Linked DNA regions of Notamacropus eugenii. The protein of the gene in region 3 interacts with the protein of the main gene of each other region in a biochemical or structural test. Links are inferred from orthologs where the notes say so. Each region holds a gene or a part of one and is shown on either strand. Other genes may lie near its edges.

Region 1 (7,820 bases), on a different chromosome or scaffold from region 3:
ATACAACCAGCTCCATCAGCAAATATTTTTCTCTTACAAGTATTTTAAAGAATCAACTTGTTTTTTTTTTAAGCTGAATAATAGTGAAAAATAGCATTAATGATACTTTAAGTGAAGGAGATGCATCCATGCAAAACAAATGGGTTGCTGCAGGCTACCACAAGAGCTATTACAACTTACTACAATGAATTACAAAATTCAAGTTGTATCATTAGCCATACCCTAGGCAATTTTAAGAAAATCTATTCATCTCTAAATATTATATATATTTTATTAAATGTAATCATATTTGTTATAAATGACATTCAATCAATATAGTTACCAATTCCCTTACTCAAACCCAGATTATCCCTGGATAACTCAAGAGGAATATAAACTTTCTTGGAAAATATGCTGCTTTTATTTATTGAAGAAGCTTGAATTTTACTGGGCATTTCTGTTTACTTCTAAATATAGAGAATTTTTTAAAAAATCTTTTTTCTCACATAGAATAAGTTAAGACTTCAAAATTCAGTTAACTACTTATCAGAAAGAGATTCTACACAAATCACAGGAGACTGTGTACCCAAATCTATGAATGTGGTTTTTTCCCCAAAATTTATCCCCAACTCTTCAAAGAGTTAGGACAACCTCAAATTGAAATTTTAAAGGCTCAAAAAGAAAATAATAATAAAACTATAATTCATATTGACTTTTTCAAGAAAGCCTGAATGAACAAAATACATTTAACAATGGCTATATATAGTAAAGGAAGGTTTAAGTGGCTCTGATTCTTATTAATTATAAACTGTAATATAAAAACAATAATACAATCTTTAAAAAAATCCCTGTGATAACGATACGTTGTATATTTGTTCGTGTAGGCATAATAGCTATGGTCTTAAAAGGGGGAAAAAGACAAGGCAGCCAGTTTGGATTCTGACAGCAATGCAGTAGAATTTAAAATATTGTGACTAGAATATTTCAGAGCAGGCTAAGCTAGCCATACAATGTGTTAACAAAGAAATACTAAGGTGTTTATTATAAAGATAAATTCTTCTCTCTCAAAAGAAAGATATGTGCACCAAGAATTCAAATTACATTGTACATGCCTGGCTGCTCTTAACTACAGTTGTATCATTATTTATAGACACAGTTTCTCCTCTGTGTATGTATGTGTAGTTTCTCACACACAAGCTATATATGTTTCACACCAATGCTGGTGGTGGCTTACTCCTGTTATGCAGAATCAACTCAACAATAACGCTTTTGTTTGTCCATGTCTGTGACCCTTGGCTTTGATTCAGCTGGCTATGACCAGACCTGAAACTCCCCACAACAGCAAAGCACAAGGTAAAAGGGCAGATGACTTTTCAGCAAACACACTTCTATCCCTTTGGTCCCTGGGAGACTTCAATAGAGCACCCATTAGCGAAAACTAGGAAAGCTTATTTCACTGGTGCTAAGAAAGGAGGCATTCATTTCTTAAACATTCATGACAATACTAATGCACCATTTTTTCTCCCCCCCCCTCCTTTTTTGGGGGTAACTCTTTTCCTAAACCAATGAGTTTAGAAAAAAAAAACTAAGAGAAAATATCACTTATTGGTGGTTCACAAACGCTGGAGTTACTACACTGGTAGTAGCAGGAGATACAGTTCTTGACATTTAAGGGACCGAAGGCTGGGGAGAGGAGATGGTAGGGCAGACACGGTGAAGATCTTTCTACCGGTCAGAAATGAGACAAACAATAGAAGCTGCATCGTCAGGGAGGAGGCTTAGACCAATGCAGAAACTAGGCAAAAAGAATGCTACCTGCATGGTGCTGCTACGGACAGAAGCAGGACGAGCAGGGACAGCCAGCACTTCCAGAAGGTGTGACCATCACCCGATTACGGGACCATGTGCTCAGGCGCTACCTCTCTACTTCCTCTCCTACACTCCAACAAGAGGGGGTCGGGGCAGGGAGAAAATCACTCACCCACACCAAAATACTGAGGCACTCTCAGAAATCGGACCGTTCCAGGGCGAGGATCTCCCACCACCACGTCCTACAGTCTTGCCTGCTGTTAATGAGGCTGTTGACAGCAAGCCGGGAGCTGACGAGACCCTTGTGTCTGACCGTGCAGTTTGAGGATTAGAGGTTCAATCACGCGAGCCCCTAGCTCACGCGAGGGCACACATACACTGTGTCCTACAAACCTGCTCCTTTTCCCCAAATCCCTTCATCCAGCAAGTGCATACAGCACACACCACGGTCTAAGTCGCTTTCCATCACTATTTCTACTGAATCTTCAATTGAGGAGAGAGGTTAGGGGTTCCTGAAAATGTCATCACACACACGCGCGCACACACACACACACACACACACACACACACGCACACACACACACACTCCACTCACAACGTCCTGCTACCGCAGGCCCCGATTTCTCAGCCTGCATCTCCCCAGAGATCCAGCTGTACTTCTCCTTTTAGCCCCCTTCCTGGTCCCCTGTCTTAGCACCGCATCTCACCACTGAACAGCCAGTCTAAAGCATCCCCCTCTTCCCTTCATTTGGGGATGGAGGCGGGGGCGGGGGGGGGGGGGGCCAGGATTGCATTATGTTGATCACCACCACCGGCATCATTATTGCTTCAATAACCCCCCACTCTCCTCTCAGGACCATCTCCATCCCTTCCCGGGCTGCGGGAGAGGCATCCGTCGGAGGCTGGATCGTCATCCCTCCCCACCCACTCCCCACCGGTACCTCGTAGCCTGACAGCTGGGGTCTGGCGGGGCCCACGTTAGCAGGCGGCGCGGGGGCAATGACAGGGGGGGCGCCCAGCCTGGGCACGAGCCTTCCCTCCGGCCGAGGCTGCCTCCGGCTCCACCATCTTCCTCCCCCTCCCGGTCCTCGTCCTCGTCCGCCTCTGGCTGGGGCTGCCCCTAGCTCCCCCAGCAGCGGCAGCAGCACCCGCAGCCCCGGCGGCAGCACCAGTGCCTGTTCCTGCTCTCCTCTCCCGGATCCCCGGCCCCACCTCCCTTCTCTTTCCCCTCCCAGCTCCGCGTGACGTTCTGCCGCGCGAGCCGGGGTTGGACTGCGTGTGTTTGTGTGTGTGAGTGTGTGTGTGTACTGTGTGTCCGTGCGCGTGCGCACCCTTGCCTCTGTGTGTGTGTGTGTGTGTGCCACTTTATACACTGCGGGCGCACGCACCCTCGCCAGGGAGAGGCCTGGGTCCCCAAGCCCAGAAGCCAGCAGCGACCCCTTCTCCAGCCTCCTCGCAGAGGCAGCGCCCGATGCCCCGCACACCCTCCTCTCTGGCCACGGCTGCGGGTGGGATGTGCTGCCGGCGTCTCCCCCCCTCCCAGGGCTCTCCTCTCCCTGGTGACAATACCAAACGACCGTCCAGGCTGATGCGTTGGAGTCCCCATGTCACTGATTAGGCCAGTTAGGTCAGCCTTCCGCTTTCAGCATGCCATCAGCCTTCATGTTTGCACAGTAACCAGAGAAAAGTGGCCTCTCGCGCAGCCAGCAGCACTTTTCCCCCGGTGAAATCTAAGCGGCTGTTTTTGTACGGCTTTTCTTCTTTCTTAGTTGCTATCTCTTAGCTTTGCCCCCCTCTACCCTTCCCCTTTCCTGGCCCCTTCCGTACTGTTAGCATTTCCAGGACAGGACACTCTAATGACAGAGGTTTTGCAGTTCTTACTGAAATATGTTGCAATAAGATCTCTAGACGCAAGGGGGAAGAGTCTTAAAAACTGTTTATGGATGAAAGACTTGGCAAGTTTGTATCTCCTAAGGGGAAACTGCTCAGTCCCCCAAGAGGGGAAAAGCAACTCCAAAGACTCCAGAAGCTAATGCTTGGAAATACGTTTCATTGTTATTCTGCCATTTTCTTCTCTTAGCTAATTAAAACTTTGAAAAAATGCACTTGAATGTGTTTTAAAGAATTTGCTTCAAACCAGAGAGGAAACAGCTAACTTGTAATGGATAAAGTGCTGTATTTGGAGACAGAAAGACCTGGGATCCAGTCCTCCCTTAAGTTCCTCCTAGTTGTGTCACCCTGGGCACTTTATTTAAACATTCTGAACCTCAGTTTTCTTATCTGTAAAAGGAGGGTTTTGAACTTGATGGTCTTCAAGGTTCCTTCCAGCTCTGAAAGTATGATGTAATAAGGACTAAGGCGGAAAAGACAGTAGCATGATGTGAGCTAAACCTGAAGACCCCAGCTACTTGGGTAAGGACTCCCAAATGACAAAAGCTAGAAACTAGTATGGCAGAAATTAGGGTTAGACCAAAACCTCACACCATTTACCGAGTGGCTCCAAATGGACACATGACTTAGATATGCTTGTTGTCCTTCATTCTCAGACCAAAACTACCTCACTATGTTGAGGTCAAGGTACAGTGTGTCTGGCTGTCACTGATCAGACCAATATGAGCTTGGAAGGCTCTACCACCGGTTGGACACAAATAGTCCATATGAACATTTGGAAAGGAGATGGCTCTAAATTTGTGCATCTTAAGTTTCTTTTGAGCTACTGAAATTCTGCTTTGCTCACAGAGCACAACATATTCTTTGTTGTGGGCATGCCATGCTGAGTGGTCCTGTGCCAGTGTCTCCCTTTTCTCCCATTCAATTCCAAAGTTCTTCAGAGAAACCTTGACAGTGTCCTTCTTCATCTGACCTTCCTGTGAGCGCTTCCCTTCTGACCTACATATAAGATGATCCAGTGGATAGAGTGCCAGACCTAGAGTCAGGAAGACTCATCTTCTTGGGCTTAAGTCTGGCCTCAGACACTTACTAGCTGTGTGACCCTGGTCAAGTCATTTAATCTAATTTGTCTCAATTTCCTCATCTGTAAAATAAGTTGGAGAAGGAAATGACAAACTACTCCAGTATCTTTGCCAAGAAAACCCCAAATGGGGTCATGAAGAGTCAGGTAGTACTGAGCAGCAACAGAATCGTAAACAAATTAGAGAACAAAAAAGAAATTTCCTTTTAGATCTAGGGAAGGGAGAAAAGTTCATCACCAAACAGGGGATAGAGAGGATCACACAGGATAAAATGGACAAATTTGATTACATAAAGTTGAACAGTTTTGCATAAACAAAATCAATGAAACTAAAATTAGAAGGAAAACAGGAAAATAGGAAAAAATCTTTGCAGCAATTTCTTTGATAAAGATGTCATTTCTAACATATAGCTCATAATAATGAGCATTTTACATTGAACATTTGCAAAGTGCTTTACAAGTATCATCTGATGTTATCCTCACAACAACCCTGGGAATTAGGTGCTATTACTATCCCCATCTTACAGCTGAAGAGCCTGAGGCCAACTGAGGTTAAAGTGACTTGTTCAGGACAACACAGTCAAGAAATGTGTGAGGATGGATTTTAATTCAGGTCTTCTTGATTCCAGTCCAGTGTCTATCCATTGTATCCCTTAGGAAGTTATTCAAATTTGTGAGAATAAGAGACATTCCCCAAGTGATAAATGTCCAAAAGATATGAATAGGCAATTCTTAAAGGAAAATAGCTAAGCTTTCAATAATCTCGTGGACAAAAAAAAAAAAATGCTCCAAGTCAGTAATGATTAGAGAGATGCCCATTAAAGCAACTCTGAGGTTCTACCTCACACCCATCTTATTGGCAAAGATACAAAAAAAGAAAAATGACAAAATAGTAGAGGGGCTGTAGAAAGCAGGCATATTTGATTGATGCACTATTGGTGGAACTATAAATTAGTACTGCTGAAAAGAAATTTGGAACTATGCCCCAAAAGTCATTAAATTATTCACATCCTTTGATTTAGTGATACGTCTACTAGGCCTTTACCCAAAGAGATCAAAGGAAGAGGGAAAAGACAATAAATACAAACATTTGCAAGTTTTTTTTGTAGTGGCAAAAAACTGCAAACTGAAGTGATGCACTTTGGTTGGGGAGTGGCTGAACAAATTATGGCATATAAATATAATATGAAAATAATGAAAGGGACAGGTTTAGAGAAAGCTGTGAAGATTTGAAAAAGCTGATGGAGAGGGAAGTGAGCAGAACCAGGAGACAATTTACACCATAATGATAACATATAAACACAAACAGTTTGGGAAGACTTTAGTTCTCTGATCAATACAATGACCAGTCCAGAGGACTGATGATGATCTTTGTATGCTACCTACTTCCTGACACAGAGGTGACAGATTCAAGATGTAGAACAAGACATACATTTTTAGACACAGCCAAAGTGGGAATTACAGATATTTGATACAAGAGTTTTATTTTTCTTTCTTTTTCTTCTTTTAAATTGTGGGATTGGGGTGTAAAGGAGAGAAAATAAATATTATTTGAAAAGCAAAGAAATGAAAAAATAAAGAAATTAAATATGTTTAACCTGAAAAAAAATAAATCAATGCAACAGGATGACAACTTACATGGTTCTTTAGAGAGTATCCTCTGAGTTCCAGAAATGATGCTAAGCCTGACCTCAAGGCATAGCAGATTTTAAAAATTTTATCTCAGACAGGAAATGCATTCTTAAAACTCCTTTTGGAATGAGAGAGGTCTTTTAAACAGGTAAAAACCTGAAGAAGTTGGGCTTTAATAAAACAATTCAATTTCTTACAGCAAGTATAATTGAAATTCTGATAGTAATGTGTAGTACCCAGGTTCCTTCAATGTGACACAATTGTCAGCCATAATCAGGTTTATGTTGTCAAACTTATAAGCCCACAAGCCCCCACCAATGTTTCTTTTTACCAACTCATACCAGATGACCACGAATTAAAATCAAAGATATCTCATGAAACAGAGTAGCCCAAACTGGGCAACTGAAAAAGTATTAAAAGTTTTAATTAAATTAAAATGTATAAAACTTAATTAATTAAATTAAAAAGTATTAAACTTTCTCATACCCATTCCCAAATGACTGATGTCTTCACAAGTTGTTGATGGTGTTATTTTTCCTTTATGCCCAAAGAGAACAGGACATCAGCAAGATGATGCCATGACTTGCAAATGAATTGAATTTAAGTGAGGGAGGGCTGTGTAAAGTCACCAGTCTCCTCCAGAGCTATCTGGGTCCAGTGGCAAGATTTCGATCAGGATGACTGGGGTTTGGCCCCAGATGCAGTGGGAAATCTTGGCCTTTTTAAGTTAAGATCTTTCCAAGTTCTCACTTTGACTGAGGCAATGCCCATTCAGTAATTAAGCCTGGTTAAAAAATGAGCCAAGGAATGGCCCCTTTGATCTAATCAACCCCACCTCCAAAATAATAAATCTGGGAGAGGAAGACCCTCAGGGTTTCTGACCAAAACAGAAACCATTACTATTTACTATTCACTCTGAGTCATCAGGACCCAAACAATGACCTCTAAGTTGGTCAATCAATGAGAGCCAGAGTGATTTGAGTTTAAGGCATGATCTTTAGTAAAGAAGTCTAGCCAGTAAACCCCAAGATACTTTGCTAGGTTTCAGCCATCAAAATTTATATTCCTTTAGGCATAGTACTAGAAGGTAAGGACATGATACCCCACATGGACAGAGGGAGGGGAGAGGAGAGGTAAGAAGAAGACAGGAGGCAAAGGGAGGGAAAGGGAAAGGGCGGGGGGGGGGGGGGGGGGGGGGGGGAAGGGAAGGGGAGAGGAGGGGAGTTGTCTAACTAGAACTGGCCCCAGCTGGGCAACTCAGACTACTCACAGGTTGTTGTTTGTCCTTCTTTCTTGAACAGGACTATGACATCAGTAAGATATACCATGACTTGCAAATGAATTGGATGTAAGTGAGGGAGGGCTGTGCAAAGTCAATAGCCTTACTTTCTCCTCCACAGCCATGTGGGTCTAGTGGCCAGATAGAGAT
Region 2 (7,925 bases), on a different chromosome or scaffold from region 3:
TGTGACCTTAAGGCAGCAGGTTCCCCACCCCTGATCTAGAAGTTGGAGAGCTGATCTTAGAGCCAAGAAGTCCTTGGTTCAAGTCCAAGAACTGATACATACCTTCTCTGTGACCTTGGACAAATCACTGGACCTCTCAGCACTTTTGACTATTCTTTTAAACCTAAAGTTGCAAAGATACTATCCTCCTGCCCTGGGAGAGGGGATTCCTTGTATTAGTGAAATCACAGGTACAATCTTTATCCTTATTTATTTTGTCCATTTTCTGTATATGATTATTTATGTACATTTTTTCCACTCATAAAATGTGAATTCCCTAAAGGCAGGAACTATTTCATTTATGCCTTTGAATCGTCTAGTCTTAGCTCAGGACCTATCACTTAAATAAATTATTAAAAATGGGTTGGTTAAAATAAGGCAGATAGGTGGTTCAGTGGATAGAGGGCTGGACTTGGAGTCAGGAAACGAGTTCAAATCCTCCGTAGGACATTGAGCAAGTCACCTAACCACTTCTACCCTCAGTTTCTCCATCTGTAAAATAATAAGATAACAGTAATAAAGGATAAAATAAGAAGATAAAAATAATAAAAGATAATAATAGCTCCTACCTCACAGGTCTTATGTGAGGACCAAATGAGATTACATGTGTAACGTACCACATAAATGCTAGCTATTACTGCTAACACTTTTATTATTACTATCCATATTAAGGAGATAGTAAGAAAACACCTAGCTTCCCAAGAGTTAACATCTCCTGGAATAGCTAAAAATATGCCCAAATAATAAGATCAGTGCTGGCAGCAATGATTGCTAAGCCATTTCCTAGGGTCTTTGAAGGAGTGTGGAAAACTGGAGATGTCCTTAAAGATTGGAGAAGAGTAAATTTTTTTTCCTTCCTTTTTTTTCTTCCTTCTTTTCTTCTTTCCTTTTCTCTTTCTTTTTTCTCTTTCTTTCTTTCTTTCTTTCTTCTTTCCTTTTTTAGAAGAGAATGAAGTCTTCTAAGTATAGGCCAGTGAGTTTGATCTTAATTGCTAGTAAAATTCTAGTACTGTGTTATCCAGGATACTGTTAGTGAACATCTAGAAAAGAAATCTTTAGGGTGGTCTCAAAGATCCATCCTAGCTTCATCAAGAACAAGTCATCTCAGACTCACCTCATTTCCTTTTATAGACCAGTTTATGAGGCTTGTAAATGAGTTGAATTCTGTAATTATAATATACTCTTCTGTAGCTTTTTTTTTTATAATTTTAGGAAAGTACTTGACAATCTTTCATGCTATTCTTTTGGAAAAGATAGAGACATGTGGGATGAGGTGAATCTTAAAGTGATTGAAAGGCCAAATCCAAACAGTAGCCATTAATGTTCCCAATGTAAAGGTCTCCAATGGCATGCCCTAGAGATCTATACTTGTCAGGATGCTATTTGACATTGTTATCAGTATCTTGGAAAAACCCATAGTGCCATGCTTATCAAATTTGCTAATGACACAAGGTCAATATAACAAAATTTGTGTTTGAAAAGGTCTCAATAGTCTCTAGAATTCTGGACTATAAAAAAAGGGTTTTATTTAGTAGGGACAAATATAAAATCTACTACTGAGGTTCAAAAAAACCATCCCTACAAGTACAAGTCGGGATAAAGATAGCTAGAAAGAAAGATCTCTGTTTTTGCAAACTGAAATCTCAATACGAAGTATGAGCACTTTTACAGGGCAACTCAAAAAGCAAATGAAATCTTGGAATACATTAAAAGGGGTAAAGGATGCAGCACTAGGGAAGTCATAATCCTCCCCCAACTACATATGGAATATGATAAAACAGTTTTAGGCACCACATTTTAGGAATGAGAGACAGTGTTGCATGGAGCAGAGATATCCAGAGTTAGGCTGTAGCTCCCAAGACTCCCAAGTAAAGCTTAAAATACAATTGGGAAATGTTTAACAAAATAAAAATGCAATAAACCATAAATAATGTTAATGTGTTACTCTAAGTCATTACGCAGCCTACAGGGATCCTTATGTAAAGTCTGTCCACACACACACACACACACACACACACACACACACACACACATCCTTCTATTTGACTTTGGCATCACTTGGGCATTAGAAAGGCCTGGAGGCAAAAAAGAGACCAAGGCTCAGATCCTTGCTAAGATGCTTCCTCACTGTGTAACCACACAGTTAACTCATCTATAAAGTGAGGCCCCAAAGAACTGATGATATTTAATCAGAAAAGGAGGAATTTAAGGCATCTGTGATAAATGTTTTCAAGTCTTTGAAGGGAGGTCTTATAGAAAGGAGGTTATGTATTTGTTCTTGGTCTCAAAGGGAAGAAATTAGAACAATGGCTGGAAATTACAGAAAAGCAGATTTTGGTTTGGTTGAAGGAAAAGGTTTCTAATCGTTGTAACTATCCCCAAGTGAAATAGACTGGCTCAGAAAGCAGTGGCCTCCTCCTCACTGAAGGTAATCAAATGAAGTCTAGAAAGCAATTTTCAAGGGCTTTGTAGAGGTCTTCTTATTCAAGTATGGAATGAATTAGATGGTTTCTGAGTTCCCTTCTGATTCTGAGATTCTGGGACTCTTTCAAATCTGTGAATTCAAAAGTGATATCAGGATTAGAATGAGAGATAGTATGGCACAGGGGAAAAGGCCTACTTCTGAAGACCTGGCTTCAGCTCTGAATTTTGTCATTTAGTACCCTTGTGACCTTGACAAAAGTCCCTTCACTCTAAGCTTTCACTTTATCATTTGGTGGACGAGATGAAATACCTTTTAGCTCTAAGGGGCTGCAATAAGTCAGCACTTTCTATAAAGGGGTGGAAAACAGTGAAGCATTTATGTTTTAATTGAATAGAGAACTGTTTCACACAGTTGGAGGAAGGGAAGTTTATAGACTGGTTTTTCAAAAGAAATTCACCTTATTTGGTATGCCAATCTCATTTAGGAAATCAGCCCTCAAGGAAGAGAGAACTCTAAATAAAATGTTATCTCCAAAAGATTACTGAGAGTTCTAAGTGATTTTGTGTTTTGTATTTTGCTTTTCTTTGACTAGGTTAAAAAAACCATTCTTTGTCTCATTTCTTACCTACCCTTAAACACTGAATGGGTGTTGTCTCAGTCAAACTGAGTCCTGGAAAGGTCCTCAGTTTAAAAAGGCCAAGGTCTCCCACTACATCCAGGGCCATCTCCAGTTGTCCTGATCTATATCTTGCCACTGGGCCCAGGTAGCTCTGGAGGCTGGTGACTTTACACAGTAATCCCTCTCTTAAATCCGGTTCACTTGCAAGTCATTGCATCACTTTCCTGATATCATGGTCCCCATCAAGAACACAGAATAAACAACAACAGAGTTCTAAGATAGCGTCAGCCTCAGGCAAAACTGAAATAGTGACTGTTTGTCTTCTGTGGGGACCCTTCTCTCCCAACATCCTGCCTTCCCTTTCATCTCCCTCCTACTTTTGACATGAGACTGTCATCACTTATCTAACATCCTCATGCCCTCTAGTATTTGCTTATACCTTTTAAATATCATGTTCCCAATACAGGATTATCAATCAGGAGCCTTGAGTTCAAATCCCAATTCTATCCCTACTAAGTAGCTTTGTGACCTTAGGTAAGCTGTTTAATCTTTCTGTTCCTAGTTATTTTCTTTGAAAGGATGGGGTTAAATCATGTTCTTTTAAGAACACTCCCAGATCTAAAAATTGCTATTTTAGACTTTTACTGGCTTTTTTCTCTGTACCCTAGAATGTGATTAAACAATTCATCTGATCAACAAACCAGTACCATAAGTCCTAGTTTGAAAGCCCTCTTAGGTAACATCAGCATTTTATCTATTGTTCTGATCAATGGACCCACCTTCAAACCCATCTAAGTGGCACTCATGGGACTCCATTTCTCCAATGCTGAGAGAACCATTTGGAGACAGATACTGTTTTTGGTGTACCTTAAATCATACCATATAGTACCCTGTATATAGATAGATTATATGTCACATTTTTTCTGAGGGTAGAGGCCTCTATATATAGATGGAAAAGAGTTTGATTGACAGGTTTGTTTAGTCCAATCTGTTACCACTCCTAATTGGCAGTTAAGCGGGCAATTAAGGGTGGAGGTGGAAATCTGGGAGCTTCTCCCATTTTTTTATTCTTCCATTTAAGAATGACACCCAAGGAATTCTCCTCATCATTTCCCACCTGGCTAGTTTTCTGGACTTCATCTTTAGAAACACATCATTCTGTAAAATGAAATCCATTTGAAAACATACTTATTCATATCATTTCCCACCCCAGCTTCATCATCTTCCTCCCCCTCTGCAGCTTTTTTTTTTGTATATTGTCTTCCTCCATAAGATTATGAGCTTCTGGATAGAAGCTCATAGACTGTCTTAAGCCTCTCTTTATATCCCCAGAGCTTAGCATAGTGTTTAATACATAGTAGATGCTTAATAAACATTTGTTGACTCTAATTCTGATTCTGATAGGACCTAGAACCTCAGATTTTCCAGGCATTAGTAAATCAATGTATGTATTTCTCTAACAGATAGAGTTCTATGCTTGGGTGCAGGAAGACTTGCATTCAAATTCTTCCTCAGGCACTTATCAGTTGCTTGACTGTGGACAAGTCACTTGACTTCTCTAAGATTCATTTTCCTCATCAATAAAAAGAGGGGGTTGAAACTGATGGTCTCTGAGGTCCCTTCCAGCTACAAATCTATGATACTATAATCCTTCGTAGATTGGCTCGAGCAAATCCATTCACTCAGCAAGCATTTATTGAGCACTCACCTAGTGAAAACACTTGTGCTAAACATTCTGGAATATAAAAAGAATAGTATGAGCAAAGACCCCATCCCTATCACCAATGCAGATCCTGCCTCATCTTTTCTTTTTCTTTTTTTTTAATAGGGAAGAAATCATAGAAGAGAAGCAAATATCTCCGTTAACTGAAGAAACCCTGGATTTGAGGTCAGAAAACTTGTGCTCAACCCTTGACTCTGCTACTCACAAGATTGGACCTTTGGTGAGTCATTCATTCCATGTTTCTGGCCCTCAGTGTCCTCATCTGTATAAAGAAGCAGATGAATTTGATGACCTGTCAGTTCCGTTGTAGCTCTAACAATCTATGAACAGTCTTGGGGGTCTCCCTGAGTCAAATCCCTCCCGACTCCAATTCATCTACACTCAGGTGCCAAAGTAAAATGTAGTTCTCACCATCTTCCTTCTTCGATAAACTCCAATGACTCTCTATTGTCCCTAGGATCAAATATCAAGTCCTGTGTCTGAAATTTACAGTTCTTCACAACCCTTTAGCTCTCTTAAACTTCATCTCCCTTGGATATTCTGGCTTACTTACTCATAGTTCTTGGAACATAACACTACATCTCCTTTTCTTTGCATTGACTGGCTCTCATGCCTAGAGTTAGGGAGGCTGTTGGAGCCAAATCACAGAGTATCAGGAGAAGTGATTGTAAAATTTTCAGGGTGAGCATTTATGCTTCAGAAATCAGCAAGTGCTATAAACCAGAGCTTGATTTATTGTTTTGTTGATTATCTAGACTTAAGAAAGTGTTAATAAAGCAGATTAAATTTAAAAGCATGTCTTACATACATTTGCCTTTTTTAAAAAAAAGTTCCATTATTTTTTAATGTTAACTTATTATTATTTATTTAATTGTTAATTATTATTACATATATTTTAATGTAATATTCTTAATATTTAACTTAATTTTTTAAATTAATTTAATAATTAATATTAAAATATTAACATAATTTTAAATTATGAATTTCCAAATGACCTCCTTCTCTCAAGTCCTTTCCTCATCTCTTGAGAAGGCACACAATATGATATCAATTATCCATGAAAAATATATTTCCATATTTGCCACATTGCAAATAAAAGGCAAGAACAAAATTTAAAAGTATGCTTTAATCTGCACTCAGAATTCATCAGATGTCTCTCTGGAGGTGGATAGCATTTTGCAACATGGATCTTCTATAACTGTCTTAGATCACTGTATTGATCAGAGTAGCTAAGTCTTTCACAGTTGATCATCATTACAATATTGCTGTCATTGTGTATGGTGTTCTGATTTTGCTCACTTCACTTTGTACCAGTTCATATAAGTCTTTCTAAGATTTTCTAAAACCATCCTGCTCCCCATTTCTTAAAGCACAATAGTATTGCATTATAATGACAACAACTTGTTTATCCATTCTCTAATTGATGGGCATCCCTTCAATTTCCAGTTTTTTGTTACCACAAAAAAAGAACTGCTTTAAATGTTGTACATATAGGTCCTTTTCCCTTTTCTTTGATCTCTTTGGGATCGAGTATTGCTGGATCAAATTTTTCTCCAGAATGGTTTGACCACTTCCAGGAGTCAAGATGGAGAAGTAAGAAGTAATCACCATAACTCTTCCATATTCCCCTCCAAACAACCATAAAAAAACACCCCAAAACAAATCCTGAAATAGTAGAACCAGCAAAAAGATGGGATGAAACAATCTTTGAGCCCAAGAAACTTGGAAGATTGACAGGAAAATATCTGTCTCACTCAGCTAAAAGGGGGACACAATCCAGGGGAGGAAGCATTCCAGCAAGCCAGCAGCAAGTCCCACCTTAGCAAACTAGCAGTAAATTCTGAGCCCCAGTGCAGTGGAACAGGCAAACCCCAACAATAGGATCCCCATGTGCCTCAGCATAACCAGAATAATGGGCAGACTCCAACTCTGATAACCACCACATGCTTCTGCATAGACACAGGCAGAAGCAACCTTCAACAGCCAGACCCCCACTGCTTAAGTGAAGCCTTGTGCAAACAGAATGATTGAGCCAGTTCACAACTCCACCAACAAAAGATTAGTGTCCCTATTTTTCCACACACCCTTCAGTACTTATTATTTTCCTTTTCTGTCATGTTAGCCATGCATCAGTTTCCTGATGCCACAGTCCTCTTTGAGAAGAAAGGACAAACATCAACGTGTGAATAGTATAAGCTGCCCCACTGGTGACCCAACTGGCCAGTTCCAGTTGGGCAATGTAGCTCCTCCCTTTCCTCTAGTCTCTTATCCTCTTTCCTCTTGCTCTGTCCACATAGGGTATCATACCCTTACCTAGAAGTGCTCTGCTCAAAGGAAAGTAAATTTTAATTGCTGAAACTTCACAAGATATCTTGGGGTTTTCAGCCTAGAATTCTTTTGTAATGACCATGCCTTAAACCCAATTCACTCTGGCTCTCATTGATTGGTCAACAATAAGTCCCAGCCCAAGCCCCAGTTAATGGTCATTGTTTGGGTCCTGATTGGCTCAGAATAAAAATAAATAGTAACTGTTTCTGTTTTGTCCAGAAATCCTGAGGGTCTTCCCTTTTGAAACTGATTTTTTTAACCAGGTAAGAGAGACTATTTCCTTGTTTCTTTTCTTACCTAGCTTAATCATTGAATGGGAATTGCCTCAGACAAACTGAGACCTGGGAAAGACCTTAGGTTCAAAAGACCAATATCTCTCACTACATCCAGGGCCATCTCTAGCTGTCTTGAGCTATATCTTGCCACTGGACCCAGATCACTCAGGAGGAGAAAGTGAGGCTGATGACTTTGCAGAGCCCTCCCAAACTTAAATACAATTCACTCACAAGTCACTTTCCCTGTGCCGTGGTACTCTGAGAACCAAGGACAGCAAAAACAACGTTAGCCAATCTGATAGGTATGACGTAGTTCCTCAGTTATTTTAATTTTAATTTGTATTTCTCTAATTAATAATGATTTTGAACATTTTTTCATGTGATTATAGATAGCTTTGATTCCTTCTTCTAAAAACTGCTTCTTCATATCCTTTGACCATTTATCAATTGGGAAATGACTTTTATTTTTTATAAATTTGAATTAGTTCCTTATATATTTGAGAAAAGAGGTCTTTA
Region 3 (7,721 bases):
CAATGGCTCCCTCATGTAAGTGTTTCAGGTCACTAGCCTAGTAACGCTAAGACTAAAGAGCACAGTGCAAGGCCAGAATGAGGGCTGGGGAATGCTCCCCATACCTGTGGTCCTTCAGTGTCATGGAATACCTGCTTCTGTTTTCAGCTGCCTGGGAGAGGGCACGCATTCCTGCCATAGTATTGCGAATTTCCTAGGTCATCCCTTAAACAAAGCGGATCGCCAAAAGCAAACAGCTTAAGACATTCTGACTCGGAACTCCCTGGACAACCTAGTCAATTAGCTCAACTTTGGGGATCCAGTGGCAGTGACCATGAGCCTTAAGGTGCTTTTCCCAGCCACTCAAGGGAGAGGCTCATGGGGCATCCCTTCCAGCCATCCTGCTGCACATCCTCATACACAAGGGCAATGGAGCCCCCACTCCTGCCTGTGCCTAAACGGTACCCATAGTACCAGGGGACCCTAACTGTGCGTGTCACATTGTGAAGCCGTTAGTGTAGCCTCTTCCTGACTTTGCCTCTCTATTTCAGTAGGAATGCAGTTGAGTCCAGCCTGTAACCTTTCTGTTTTCCTACTCCTCCCAAGTAAAGGCCTCTGTAAGGTCCACTTGTAGCAATGAGTATTTGCTCATTTCTGGGAGTGTTCTCCACGGCCCATCCCAAATTTTGAAGGGATATTATTTTAGGAACACAATTGGTATCGTGTCAGTCAGGGTAGGGATGAGTTCAAATCCTGGAGGAAAAAAATGGCCCTAAGTGGATCGAGCTGGAAAGAACTCTGAACATCCTCTCATTTACAGAGGATGAGGGGCTCCCAGAGCTGAAAGGTAGCAAGCGACAAAGTAGAGATTCCTGTCATTCCAAACATGCTCTGTATTCTCCTTCACTGAGGCCGGGGGGGGGGGGGGGGGGCGCCAAGGGATTCGGAGAAAGGGGACTCAGAAGTCAAGTATAACTTCCTCCACACTAGCTGTGTGCCCACCCCTCAGGGACTGAGGCAACATCTTAAACCAGTCACTTTCAAGAAAGTGGTCTTTTTGCATTGATTCAGGGAGGGGACCTCTCTCCATGCTGACCTGGGCTCGGTTCCCCGGGCTCTCATGGACTCAGCAATCCCAAGTGTCCCTGCAGAGGAGTCACCCTGCTGAGGCAGTCTTGGGGATTGAGCTACCTTGTCTAAGCCTTGGCCTCTTCTGTCCAGAGGGCTGAGGGATGGGATGTAGGGTGAGAGGTGTACAAAGGGTTCACATGCTCCATAAAAGACAAGATAAAAAGTTGCCTGGTCATCTGTCAGCTTCTCCTCAAGCAGGTGAGGTCAGGTGAAGGAAAGTCATTGCTCCTCTGCCCTTCCCTGCCCCCATCTCATCAGGACCGAGCCTTAGGACACTGAGGCAGGACCAGGCATCTCCGAATTTCACACTAACCCTGCAGATTCTGCTAGGGGGTCAGGATGCTTTACAACCTCCCAAGCCCTGGCCGCCTCCTCTGTGCCCAGAGCTTTTCAGTCCCTGGTTCCTCCAGAGTCCTCCAGGCTGTGGAGAGCGGGAAAGGAATGGGTCCCAGCTGCAGGCAGTCAAGTCGGCTTGCTCCCAGCTGCCGTGGAAGGTCCCCAGAGCTAAGTCAATCGTTTTTGAAGTTGGCCTCCCACAGCATGCTTATGCTTTGCAAATTTGTTTTGGCACAGGAGCTGGGGTGCAACCTGTGACTCGACTTACTCATTAGATGGAAACGGCCTTTGTCAGCTGCCACATTGCTTGAGTCACCATGTTGCTAAAATAAGCTGTCTTCTGTGAATCGTGCTGCTCTAATTCTGCTTTCTTGTCATTTTTGCTTGGGTTCTGTCTTCTGCTTTGCCTTGCCTTCATTGTTTTCCCTTTTCTCCTGCTGTTCTACTAAGTAGGCAAACAAACCCTGAGACACAGTATGCTTCAGCCACGGGATGGATGGAAGACAAAACAAACAGCTGTTTAAACCTGCCCGGTAGGAAATCCGAGACATTAATGTGTATCAAAGCAGGTGCTGCAAGAAGTCTGTCTTGCAGCCCTTGCTGGAACAGAGTCCCCTCAAAACCTGAGATTGGCCACCTCTGACTTCCACCAAAGTCCTTTTGCTAGAGTCTCTCCCCTCCCATCAGCTTTCACTCACAGAGATATTACACACACCTTTACTGCCAGAGCTAGGAAGCAAGAGATTCAGCCCTAAGGATGATTCTTTTTTGCCAAAAAGCCCCTTTCAAGATGAGGCTTCCCTTCATATATCTCCCTGGCGATCATCAGAGTTCCTGGTATGCCTCATGTGCTACCACCGATGTTGCAGTATTGGACATGTCTTTGCTAAACATGTCATTTCACAAGGATTTAGACTTTCTTCTGGGTGAGGTCTTTCTGAGACATTGTCCTCTGGGCAAGTACAGCTCTTCAATGATGTCAAACCATGAGGGAAAAAAGGCCCCTGGCTTTGTTTTAATTCAAGAATATTCCTCCTTTGCCAAGTGACATGTCCATAAACAGCCTATGGGCATCAGAGCCCCCAAAGGTGAAAAGGCTATGGGTAAGGACCCAGTAGTAGGTCACTGAGCCATGGAACAATGACACAGGGCTTTGCCAGTAGATCCTGATCCAGTAGAGTCATTAGGATTTGGGCAAGGGAGATAAGAATCCCAGATGAAGGGCAGGTTCCATCAGATTTCCCAATGAGAATTACAACTTCATCCAATTTGGAATATTGGCCAGCGAGCCCTGTGGATAAGGCCCCCAACCTCAGTTTTTCTATGGAATAAGGGGCAATTGAAAGACTGACATTCATTGAGTATTTCCTAGGATTTCAGTCAGGTGTGGAACCCATCTTCCGAGGGTTCTAGTGCATGACTTTACCATATGCACATGTGGATGTGGATCTGCCTATGCGGGGTATGGACATTCCAAGTCTACACTTGTATGACTGTAATTTCTCTGGCCTTTTCCATTCTGTTCATGGACTCGTTGAGGGCTCCACCTTTTTATGACAAACCCATATTCTTTAAATGATACAGCAATGGTAAAACAACATCCCTGTCACTTTACAATGACTAGCCACCTCAACCAATCCTGAGTAGAATTTTTCTTCTTCACAAGGAAATACAGGTAAGTATAAGCCTTCCAGACCTACAGTATGGGTACTTGCATTCTCAGATCTCCTAGAAGAATGTGTGTGGGGAGGGCTCCCAGGTTCTCCACCTGCCCCTTATGGATCCTGGAAGCAAGAGAGGGGAGGAGGACCAGGTCTGGTCATTACAACTTGGGGTGATTTTATCTTCTCCCTCAGAGGCTCTTATTGCCTCAGGCAGAGGGCTTTTCTAGATAGAAAAGGGGGCTCTCTTGCTGACTAGACTCTTGGCAAATTGACATCCTCAGCATCAGCTCACTGCTGGCACTTCTTCCTGCCTGGAAACCTGCCAGGGCTCCTACTCTGAGTCTGGGTCACTCCTGCCTGGGGAAAAGGAAGCATCGTGGAAATGTATAATTAATTTGGCCTCACCCAATGTAAGCCCCTTCTCTGGGATTCTCCAGGGCTCACTGATGACAGACAGCTCAAATACTAATTGGACGATTTTGAACCCAGGCAAGCAGAGATTAATGCCCTCCTCTCCCCTCTCCCCACTCGCTTGACCCTTGTTAATGATATTTCTCTAGAGAACAGACTGTGGGACCAGAAAAAGGAGGAGATGATTGTTGATTCACTAAAACATAACACCCCATCTGCCTGGCCTACACTGGGCACATCTCCACCATAGCCTACTCACAGAACTAGTCTAATCATTCAGTGTGATTCCTAGTGGGAGGCATTTCTGGCAGTCGTAATCTCCTTTGGTTTGCTTTCAGCTGTAGGTGTTTCAAATGCTACCTGGGATCTATGTATGCCAATTGGTAGTCCTCCTTGGAGGTCTGCTGCCCAGCTCCAAATTGCATCTTAACTCACCTCCTACTTGTCTTCCAGCTTCAGACATCAGCAGACTTGCTTGAGCGCAACTTCCTGTGAGGTAAGCTTCTTCCCCAAACCCAGGAGCGGCTTTTCCTGACTTCCAGTCCTCTCCATGAGTAGTGAGTTGTTTATCAAGGTCCTGCTAGGGCCTGTGAGAAGCAACTGAGCTAGAGACATGTAAAAGCATTGTGTGGAGATGAGTCATTCATCAGTTCAGGAACGATCAGCTTTTCAAATGTGCCTAGAGATTGGGGAGGGGTGTTCATCTCTACTCTGAGGATTTCTGGTATCTTTCAGACCTATGGGCCTCCTGCCCCAGGTTCATGAGATCAGAAACTCATGAGCTTCCCACCCCCAAAGCAAAGGGAAGAGTTTCTGAGAAGCCTTGGATAAATAACAGGCATCTGGCCCCTTTCGAAGAAATCCCCAGCCAAGGAGGTACAATGAAGGAGATTCAGTAAAAACATGACCCTGTGGCCAAGCCGCGTCTTTACTTCGCAGTATCATTGATCCTGGAAATTTTGGAGAGAGAGCTCAGTTATTTTTCTGAAGGGGCCCAGTGGCCCTTTCATGTTCTCTCAACAGAGTTGGAAAAATGTGGGGTTTATTTGTTCTAACCTTGGTTTGGAGTGATGAGAGAGGAATTTCAGGAATTTCTCATGGAAGGTTTTTTCTTCCCCTCCAAGGAAGACCAGGATTCTCAACTGAACGGCCAACTGATAATGTTCCCTAGGTGCCCGAGTGGAAACACTGTGCAACCATGAGTCTTCTAATACCCAGACTTAGGGCACTCTCCAGGTAAGAACAGCCAAGAGGTAGCCTGAGGCTTGCTTCCTCGCAGTGCAGAAAAGACCTTTGGAGCAAACTGAACCCTCCTAGTAAGCACTATCTGCTGCTAGAGAGAAATTGATCCTTGCAAAAATATCAGCCAATCAACCTTTTCCTTAATTTTTGAAATCCTGAAATCAAACAATGAAATAGGCTCTTTGTAGAGGTTATAGGTTTCCTTTCACTGGTGGTCTGTTTTGTCCATTCATAGGAGAGGGAAGAGAAAAGATAAAATAGTCCAGTCTCAGACTAGATGTCTTTCAGGATCCAGTCTGACTCCACAAGGCCATCTATTGAGGAAACTGAGGTAGGGGGAGGGAATGAATGATGTAGTAGCCAAGGTTAGCATAGCACTCTCTCATCTTTCACGGCCAACAAGAGGATAAGAATGGCACCCAAAAAGGGTGGTGATGACCCTTTTCTTTTTTCCATCCCCCTACTGGGGTAGGTAGTAAGAATCAGATGACATCAGCTTACCTGAGAGACACCTGTCAACTCCTTTCCGTGGTCTTCATAGGCCTCACCAAGCACAAAGTGAATGGGAAAGTCCAATATCACTGACCCAGAGGGAAAAGCGTGGTGTGGGACTACTTAAAGATGTTTGCTCTGTGGGCATGAACCTCCTTTTGGTCTTTTCTCCCTTTCCAGATTGTGTGTAAGAGTAAATGCGTGATTATAACCTCCTCTGTGCCCACCATGTTTGTCACATCCTAGGATCACAATGGGGAAAATCATGACTTAGAAATAAGCTACATGTGAAAAGGGTTTTTCCTTGTCTCTTGGGGTGATTGAAGGAAAGAATTTGAGATGGATACAATACATTATCCTCCTTATGGGGCTGATTCATTAACTGAGGTCACCATGGAAAACACCTGACATGGGGTGGGGTACTCATTCATTCAGCAAAAGCAATGTCATTCTGCACTGAAAGTCTCATACAAATCTTGGACAGATGTTCACCTGCAATTGGAAAGGAACGAGTTTTTGCACAAAGCTCATATAATCATGAATAGACTTACTCACAAATGATTTGTGCTACAACATGTCAGAACAAATCTCCAACAGGCCCTCGTGGCCTGCGAAACAGAGTTGCCTCAGTAGTTTGGGGAATGTAGCCACACTCCGGGAATGACCTCTCTTCTCCTAGTGCCCAACATGGAAAGCCTTTGGTTTGATGTGGAGTATTCCACCCATAGTACCAATCTGTGACTTATAGTGATGACAAGGATGCCATCCAGGACCCCCTTTAAGATACACTGAAAGGAGAGGCATTTGTGTCCATACTTCTCACTTCTGAGCCCAGTAGCTCAGTATATCTGTCTCTGTACATGTGGGTAGAATCATAAGCATGCCAGGTCTATCTCAAAAGGGAATGTGGCCCCAGCATGGGATCCCATGGGCTCCTTTCAGGGTCTCAGAGGCACTCTGAAGGAAAGCAAATCCTAATGCCAAGCTACCAAATTCATCCTAGCGCATCTCCAAAGACCCTCTCCGTAATGAGACCAGGTTATGCTGCATCATGAACTTAGACACAGCTTTGAGTAGGGATGAGCCCAGTCCTTGGATCCCATCTGTTTCTTTCCTAGGTTTGGGTCCCATGATCCTTTCCCCAACTAACTTGTCATACAAAGCTGTCTATTTTTCACAGCATCCTTTGTTTCCTCTATCATTTAACTTAGATCAGAGGCAAGACCAGGTCCGAGGGGAGATGTGATGTCAGTTTCTTTATCCCTGCAAGGCTCCTGGTGGGCCAGAAGCATCTCCCCTGGGTCTTACATTTGGTATCAGGCTGCTACCAGGAGGCTCAAACTGCTCTTTCCCAGAGCAAAATCGAAAATGGCAGGAGGATGCTCAGCATCCAGGCTTGGGAGCCCAATCCTGAGACTCATCCATCCTTTGGACAGATCATGTGATGTCTGAGCATGGGACAGAGGTGGGGGAGTAGTGTTATTCGGTAGGAGACACAAGCCAGCAGACCTAGCTAAAGATGGTGAGCCTGACACCCTGACCTGAGGCTCCTGGGCGGTCTGTTCCTCCCTCCCAAGGAGAACTGGGTCTAGGTAACTCTTTGAAAGCCTTTAATCCCCTTTTCATTAAAAGCATAGCAGTTATGCAGAAACTCTTGGCCCTTTGTCCAAAGGGGAAAGGCAAGGCCATGGGGGTGGATATTTAACGCGACTCTTTGAGGGTGGGTTAGAGTAAGGCCAGGAGAAGGGCAAAAGAGAGTCCAAGCTCTGGTCTCAGAAGGACTTGACTTTGGCCAAAGCTCCAGACTTGGAGAACTGTGGCAGAAACAACCAGGATCCCTTCCCACTGGGTATCCTCCCTCCAGCCTTCTGTGATCGTGAAGCATTTCTGTTGGTGTTTCCATTGGTATAATGAGAAGGAACAAGACACAGTGGTGATTCAAACCTGAGAGAGTATAGGTAAGAGATCAGAGATGGAGGTTGAGGGTGTGGAAAAGGATTCCCTGGGGGGGGGGGGGGGTCATGTCACTAGGGTCCTGAAAGTGGTGCTCAGAGAGTATCTCAGGAAAGCATTCCCTGTCTGCTACTTTCAGAAGGGAAGATGGCCTGCCTGTTTCACCATGCAAGGAACCAGGACCCAAAGCTTACTTGGTGAGGATGGTGTAGCTGCCTTCTCTGTAGGGTCTAGGTAGACCCTACATTGTCCCTCTGCAAATGCGGTGCTAAAATGCCTGGGCTGGGCAGATTCTGCTCACCGATGTCTCATACCCTGGGTGCTCTGCTCACCTTTGGTACGATGGGTGGAATAAGCCAGATCAAACCTAACTGCCCAAAGAGGACTGCGGTTATAGTGCTGGAAGGTACCTCAGACGTCATCTCCCTTAGCTGAGAGGGAAAGAAGTTGGTACCTGGGGAGGTCCAATGACTCCTCTCCTTCTTCCTTGAGTTGCTGCTTCTGTGATCTTTG
Region 4 (7,199 bases), on a different chromosome or scaffold from region 3:
CAGATCCAGGAGAATGTTGTACACAGCATCAGCAATATTATACAATGAGAAATTGTGAATGACTTAGCTATTCCCAGCAATACAAAGATCCAAGGCAATTCCAAAGGACTAATGATGGAGTATATTATCCTCCTCCAGAGAGAGAACTAATATTGTTTGAATACAGACTGAAGCAAGCTATTTTTCACTTTCTTTCCTTCTTTTATTTGAGTCTTTTTGTATAAAATGACTAATATGGAAATGTTTTACATGACTGCATATGCGTAACCTATATCTGATTGCTTATCATCCCAGGCAGAGGGAAGAGGAAGGATAGAAGGACAGAATTTGGAACTATATTTTTTAAAAATATGTTAAAAAAATTTTAATATGTAATTAGGGAAAATAAAATATATTTTTTAAAAAAAATGTTAGTGTCTTTAAAACAGACTTATTCAACAATGCAGAGGGCTTTCTGCTGCATTTAATTTTAAGGGTAAAGCACTCCTTCACTCACACCAATGGGATAAGGCAAAGGGTCTGAAGAACACCTTCTGTTCCTCATCCCTCTTTAGACCACAGAACCCTGAGAAATAAGGCTGGGGCCTTGACCTTTTGGTTTGTGATCTTCCCTCATAAGTGCAGGGAGTAAAGCCATGGGAAGGCAAGAGTCCAGGAACCCAGGCTGGATATTGCAGCCGGCCAACCAGCCCACCAGAGATAGCCTGGGAAGCGCAGGTCCTGGGTGTAAAGCCTAGCAGAAGATGGACTGACTGCTTTGGCCTTGAACTTGGTGAGATTAATGTTATATAGGATCTGGCTAAATTGTGAGCCTAGTCCCCCTCCCTTGTCCAAAGACTGAGGTGATGTCTATGTGGGAAATTATGCTTCTGAGGTATTAGGGGAAATGTTGGTATGTTTATTCTTGCTGTATCTCTTAAGTAAATAATAATAATAATCATAGGTAACATTTATATAATGTTTACTAGATGTCAGACTGTGCTAAGCACTTTGTAATTGTTATCTAATCTGATTCTTACAATAGTCTTCATTCCCATTTTACAGATGAGAAAACTGAAGCAAACAGGGTTAAGTGACTTGCCCAAGGTCAAACAGCTAGTGGGTATCTGAGGCTAGATTTGAATTCAGGTCTTCCTTACTCCAGAATCAGCACTCTATCCACTGTACCAGCTTTGTAAAAGTTAATTTAGTATCAAGTAGTGAAATGAAACTGAGGTGTTAGTCACTTGGCACCTAAAAGTGAAGGGAATATAATAGGGGCTCCAACCAATGACAAAGAACATAGACTCCCTCACCCTCTCAGGGTACCAGAGAACCCTGGGAGGGCAGGTGTAAAATGTAAGGAACTGGCCCTGTGTGAATGAGTTTGGAATAAACTCGTGTTACACTTGACTACTCAGAAGAGTGTTTTTAAATACATAAAATAAAATATACAGGATACAAAGAAAGACAATTATTTTGAAATGAAGCCATTTTCTCAGCCAACCAAGTTCACAGACTCCTGAAATCTATCTGCAGACCCCAGGTTAAGAACTCTTGATCTATCCTAACCTTTTAATTTTACAGATGAGAAAACCAATCCCCAGACAGAGGTTATACAGCTAGTTCGTGGCAGAAGCAGGACGAGAGTCTGTCTCATGAAACTCATCCCAGTCACTTTTCTACAATACCAGGCGATCTCCCATTATACACTGGAGGAAGAAGAGCTGGTGGCACACCAAGGCACTCAGATCAACAGTAAGCTCTCCATCTAAGATTTATCAGAATGATACATCCTAGAAGATCAGGAAATGCTAGTGGGCAGACCATAGAAATCGTAATCTTATTGAATTTTATTGCAAAAGATTTATTGCAAAATCTGCAATAAATTTCTAGTAACACTAGTGAGCTTGTCACTTCCACCCTCACTTGATACTGTGACACTAAAAACACAAAATAAGGTAACTCCTTTCAGACCTACAGCCAGTCAGAAAGGTTCATGGATCTTTATCACCTACCTCACTGGTCAACATCAAAAATAAAATTAACACAATCACAACAACAACGTTTCCTCAAACTTTTGCCTGGGTAAATAATGACACCCTTTGATTACCTGGTTCATAATGGAAAGTATACTAACTTCCAGGAGACCTGGGTCTAGACTCTTCTACCTGCTAACTGTAAGACTTCAGACTTTTTTTCATTTAGTATTTTATTTTTCCCCAGTTACATGTAAAAACAATTTTTACCATTCATTTGAAAAACTTGGAGTTCCAAATTCTCTCCCTTCTTCCCTCCCCTCTTCTGCTCCCACTGAGAAGGCAGGCAATTAAATCTAGGTTATACATGTATAGTCATGCAAAACATTTCCATAATAGTTATGTTGTGAAAGAAAACATGGACTCTCCCCTCAAAAAAAGCCCTCAAGAAAAATAAAATTAAAAAAGTTATGTTTCAGTCTGTATTCAAACATCATTAGTTCTTTCTCTGGGGATGGATAGCATTTTTCATCATAAGACCTTGATAGCTGAGACTTTAGACCTTAGGTGAGCTAGCAGCAAGCATAAAGTAATCAATCACTAAACTGGCTAACTAAAACCCAAATCTTTCGATTCCTTCTCCAAGCTTTCCCCCCTTGACCTACCATATTACTACAGTCTTCTTACTGAGGTAGAAAATAACATTGTCCTCGCTGACTTTTAGCACCCCTTCCAGGCTTAAATTTATGCTTCTTAATCTATGACCTAAGTCTCTGCCACATTATCCACTTGATTCTATATCTTAATTTCATTTATTCATGATGATTTGAATGAAGTATCCCTATTTCCCTACTCTGAATCAGAACCCTGAGGCTACTGGATTCAATAAATCAGATAGTCCATCAAGCACCTATGTTTCAAGCAAAGTGCTAAGAACTGGGGACACAAAAAGAGACAAAAGTCAGTCCCTATTTCAAAGAAGACCATGCCATCAGAGAAATGATGACATGACTTGGATTGGACTTTGTTTTGAGTGAGGGAGGGCTGTGCAGGTCACCAGTCTCACTTTCCCCTACTGAGCCATCTGGATCCAGTGACCAGATATTCATCAGGATGCCTAGACACTGCCCAGGATGCAAAGGGAAACCTTGGCCTATTCACTTAAAGGGGCCATTCCCTGATTACAATCTAACATTGTAAGTGCAAGGTGAAGATGAAAGTCTCGCTTTTTTGAGAAAATTTCTACTGTGTGATTTTGACCGTGATAATAATATATACCAAGGATGCTAGGAGACTGGGAATCGAAGAAAATATCCCATACGCAGTCTACATTAACAGAACTGCGACTGTATCAGGAGCCTGATACATTGTGGCAGTGTTCCAGGGCACTGAATACACAGGACGCTGACGTCACCTAGGGTGTTTCAGCGGTGTGCGAAGAAGGAAGCCACCCTACACAGTCAGCTCAGGTTGTCCCCACCAAAGGGGGCATTCTCCTCCTCACCCTCTCCACTGAAGGTGCCACTTGTCCTGAGTGGGGTGTGCGTGTGTTGGCCGGGTGCCAAAACTCCTAACTGCAGCTCTGATGTTTAATAAAATTTCCTGAATTCTCCTGTGATGAAGTGCCTGGATTTAACGGGTTTGAGACAAAAGCACTATCCGCAGGCTCGAAAAAGAAAGGTTTTTGCAGAGGCAGCTAGGGGTGTTCGGTGACTGAGAGTCCGAAAGAGCCGAGTGCCAATCCTGCCTCCCACACTTGGACATGTAACCTGGATAAGTCACTTGCACATATTACATGTTACATGGAATATATTTACCACGAGTGTACGTAAGCCTGTTTATAGAGAAGTTTACAAAGTTTTCCGTCTCTATCTAGATAGACAGGACGGCCCAAAAGTCTTGGTGCAGTGGAGGTGGGCAGCACGTAGCATTTCCATTTTACAGGTGAGGAAACTGAGGCCCAGGGTCGCAGAGCTCAGGATTTGAATCCACGTCTTCCCGGCTGGCTTTCTGTCGCCGACCCCTCCCTTGCCAGGTACACGCCTCCTAATCTGTCTCCATTCCCACCTTACCAACTAGACGGAAGAGGGGGAAAGAGTGCGGGAACCTATGCCGGTGCAGAGTGAGACAGCACCAGCCTCTGGGAAACTCGAAAAGCTGGCGCTGGAACGCGCACGCGCACGCGCACGCGCAGGCGCCTCCCGGCGCATGCTTAGCCAAGCCCGCAGCCCCGCCCCCGCCTTCCCTCGAGATCTCGCGGTATTTCCTCCCCCTCCGCTCGCTAGGCCCCCTCCCTCGGAGACGCTTGTGAGGCACGCAGCGAAGCCGTCGTTTGTCATCATTTCCCGTCGGGCCGCGCGCGGGGGGAGAAGATGGCGGCGTTGGGGGAGCCTGTGAGGCTGGAGCGGGGTGAGCTTTGGGGCCCGACACGGGGTCGGAGGAGGAGCAGGAGACGGCGGGCGAGGGGAGGGCAGGGCCCCCACCCCGAGGAGGGGCGAGGGCAGGATCCGGGAGGGAGGGGAGGCCCTTCCGGGACGTCCCAGCCCGGGGCGCCGGGGAGCCAGGGCGGGACTCGGGCACGCCCACCCACGACCGGCCTGGAGCGAGGCCCTCCCGGGGCCGGGGCCGGCCCGCCGCGCTGACGCTGCACCCCGAGGCACGCACTGCCCTGACCCGCGCGACCCCGACCCAGCCCCCACCCCCACCCCCGGCCCGACCTGCCCTGCCCGGTCCGCGCACTCGTCCGACCGCGAAGTCACCTGGTCTGGTCCTTCGGCGGGCATGCATTAAGCTCTTACTGTATACCAGGCGCTGCAGTGAGCGCCGCGGCCTGGAGGACCGCCGGCCTTTTTTACACTCCACCTGTGCCCTCCCCTCCCCAAGCGCGCTCACGCCCTGTGCGCATGTGCGCCCCCGTACGTGCGAGCACGTGGCTAGAGGCTGGGGTGTTGTACGCTGCTGCTGCCCTTTCTAACCCTTTCGCCCGTTCAATTTCATTAGCATAAATTCAGCTTTTAATCCTCTAAAGTTGGGGTGTAAAATTTTGATCTGTATTTCTGTCTGCAGCATTGTAGGTCATCTGGGCCACCTCTTGAGGTTAAGTGACTTGACCAGAGTCACTCGGGGTATTTGCTGAGGACAGGGCTGTTGGCCACCTGAGTAAGGGTTCCAGGGTCTCCCACATTTTGCAGTGAGCCAGCTAGACAGAGCCCTGGACTTGGAGTCGAGTTCAGATCCTGTCTCATCCTTAGTAGCTGTGTGACCCTGGTCCAGTTATTTAACCTCTGTTTGCTTCAGTTTCCTTATCTGTGAAATAGCACCTACCTCCCATACTTATTGTAAGACTCACAAGATATTTGTAAAGTGTTTTGCAAACCTTAAAAGTGTTCTGTAAATGCTACATATTATTTCCAGTGACAGGGTTTGGAGACTTGAAACACAGACTTCTCAGTTACACTTAGCAGACTTACACACCTTAGATATAACAGGTAAATTGTCTAGGTGAACCTGCAGTTACCTTTCCTTATACCCTCCCCCCAAGCTTAATTACACACACACAGGCACATATTCTCTACCAGTATACACATATCTAAATGTATGTTTGCATATGTGTGTGTTTATATCTGTGTGTATATGCATACACTTGCACTCGGTCCCCTTCCCAACTCACACACACTCACTGCTCTGTTAATAACTGCTAAATATGAACTACCCTCTTTACACCCCCCCCAGATGCCCTGAAACACGCACAGAGAGTCTGAAGGCAAAGAACAGATTACCTTTCTTTCAACCACACATACATACTAAATATATTGTCTATTTTTACACAGTCAAGGTATATGCACCATATCACACCTCTGTTAAATCATACATAGCAGGTAGACATGACCTGATTTACCCAACCACATAAATCACCCTCAGGCCTAAAAATTCACATGTTACAGCTACTCAAACCACGTACTTCACAAAGAGTAGCTTTTATGTGAAGGGTCAGTGATTGCCTGGCCTGGAAAGGTTAGAGTCACAGGATTACAGGAAAAGTCGGGTGTTACTTTCTCAAAGTCTTTGAGTGTTCTTAAGATTGAAGAACTATTGAGGAGTGAATGAGGCCACATGACTCATCTGAGCTTTGGGTAGAGTTTAAGTTCTCAAAGAACAAAGACCAGCTTCCTTGTTATGTAGCCTTATTTCTCCCATACCACCAAACCAGAGTTGGTTAAGGATTTCAGACTCAACAGGAAAAAATTGTTGCTCAGGAGTGTAGACGAAATGAGATTATGTGAATAAATTGAATTTTCCCTTGCTTGTATAGTGTGAGAGGATTTTAAAATTCTTTTCTACCCTAAAAATATTCTTATATATTGTTACATTCAGCATAATTTTCTTAATACATTTAGTCAAAATTCTGGTTTAGATTATCTGTTGTTGGAGTACATGATTAACATCAAAAATACAGAAATTAACATTTTTTTGTAATAAAAATAGAATAGGAATTAAAATTATCTTCCAGATTATAATTATACTTCCAAAATTTTAAGTAGCTTTATTCACCATGAGCATGTAAAATTTTTATGGTGTTGTTTAATAGCTTAAAAAGTAGAGGTGTCACAGAAGACCTGGATTCAAGTCCCACTTCTGATATATACCGGCTTTGTGACCCTGAGCAAGTCATTGCCCCAGAAAATTCTAAGAATACCAGTTGCAGAGAAGGTCTCAAACTAATTTGATGTAAAGAGTTTCAGGAGTTTTCTACATAAATGAAGTTGTTGGTTCCCACCATACTATATAAAAATATTTTGCTCTTCCCCTTCCTGACAAACACCTAATCTCTAATTCTTCTTGTGTTCATGACTTAGATACTTTTTAGTGCATTCTGTGTGCTTCATTAGAGGCTAAAGAGAGATCTATCCCTTCACACATCACCAGCCTATTAATTAAAATATCGATTTTTCCAGGAGACTTTTAAACCACAAGGCTGTAACATCCCTCTCCTTAGTACCAAACTACTATGCTTTATGCTAGGAAACAAATCTGTTTGGTGTCAAATAGGAGTAGGTTTTTTTTTTCTTAAAAGCTAGTTTTAGAATTCTTACATGTTGACAATGAGTGTTCTTTTGTATTTTTAAGTACTGGACAGAATAATTGCATGCAGCATCACCTCTAGCATCTGTTTTTGGTAGTGATGACTTTCTCCTATTTCAATTTTTTCTCTGTTTCTTTGTTTCAAATGATAGTAGAATG

The links.
Region 1: the proteins of HTR2C (region 3) and APBA1 form a complex in vitro, tested with the Homo sapiens proteins (2 studies listed by BioGRID and IntAct, with this or other methods). The link is inferred for Notamacropus eugenii from reciprocal best matches to the Homo sapiens genes HTR2C and APBA1.
Region 2: the proteins of HTR2C (region 3) and MPDZ form a complex in vitro, tested with the Homo sapiens proteins (3 studies listed by BioGRID and IntAct, with this or other methods). The link is inferred for Notamacropus eugenii from reciprocal best matches to the Homo sapiens genes HTR2C and MPDZ.
Region 4: the proteins of HTR2C (region 3) and LIN7C form a complex in vitro, tested with the Homo sapiens proteins (2 studies listed by BioGRID and IntAct, with this or other methods). The link is inferred for Notamacropus eugenii from reciprocal best matches to the Homo sapiens genes HTR2C and LIN7C.

Annotation. Positions count from the first base shown.
Region 1 is NC_092872.1:103,059,119-103,066,938, forward strand, and holds the start of APBA1 (amyloid-beta A4 precursor protein-binding family A member 1), read right to left. Parts: upstream 3,017-7,820; 5' UTR 2,730-3,016; intron 1-2,729. UniProt on the Homo sapiens protein: Putative function in synaptic vesicle exocytosis by binding to Munc18-1, an essential component of the synaptic vesicle exocytotic machinery. May modulate processing of the amyloid-beta precursor protein (APP) and hence formation of APP-beta.
Region 2 is NC_092872.1:30,053,330-30,061,254, forward strand, and holds the start of MPDZ (multiple PDZ domain protein), read left to right. Parts: upstream 1-4,916; 5' UTR 4,917-5,026; intron 5,027-7,925. UniProt on the Homo sapiens protein: Member of the NMDAR signaling complex that may play a role in control of AMPAR potentiation and synaptic plasticity in excitatory synapses. Promotes clustering of HT2RC at the cell surface.
Region 3 is NC_092879.1:95,876,142-95,883,862, reverse strand, and holds the start of HTR2C (5-hydroxytryptamine receptor 2C), read left to right. Parts: upstream 1-4,719; coding exon 4,720-4,757; intron 4,758-7,721. UniProt on the Homo sapiens protein: G-protein coupled receptor for 5-hydroxytryptamine (serotonin).
Region 4 is NC_092877.1:23,933,158-23,940,356, forward strand, and holds the start of LIN7C (protein lin-7 homolog C), read left to right. Parts: upstream 1-4,196; 5' UTR 4,197-4,330; coding exon 4,331-4,367; intron 4,368-4,717; exon of another isoform or gene 4,718-4,859; intron 4,860-7,199. UniProt on the Homo sapiens protein: Plays a role in establishing and maintaining the asymmetric distribution of channels and receptors at the plasma membrane of polarized cells.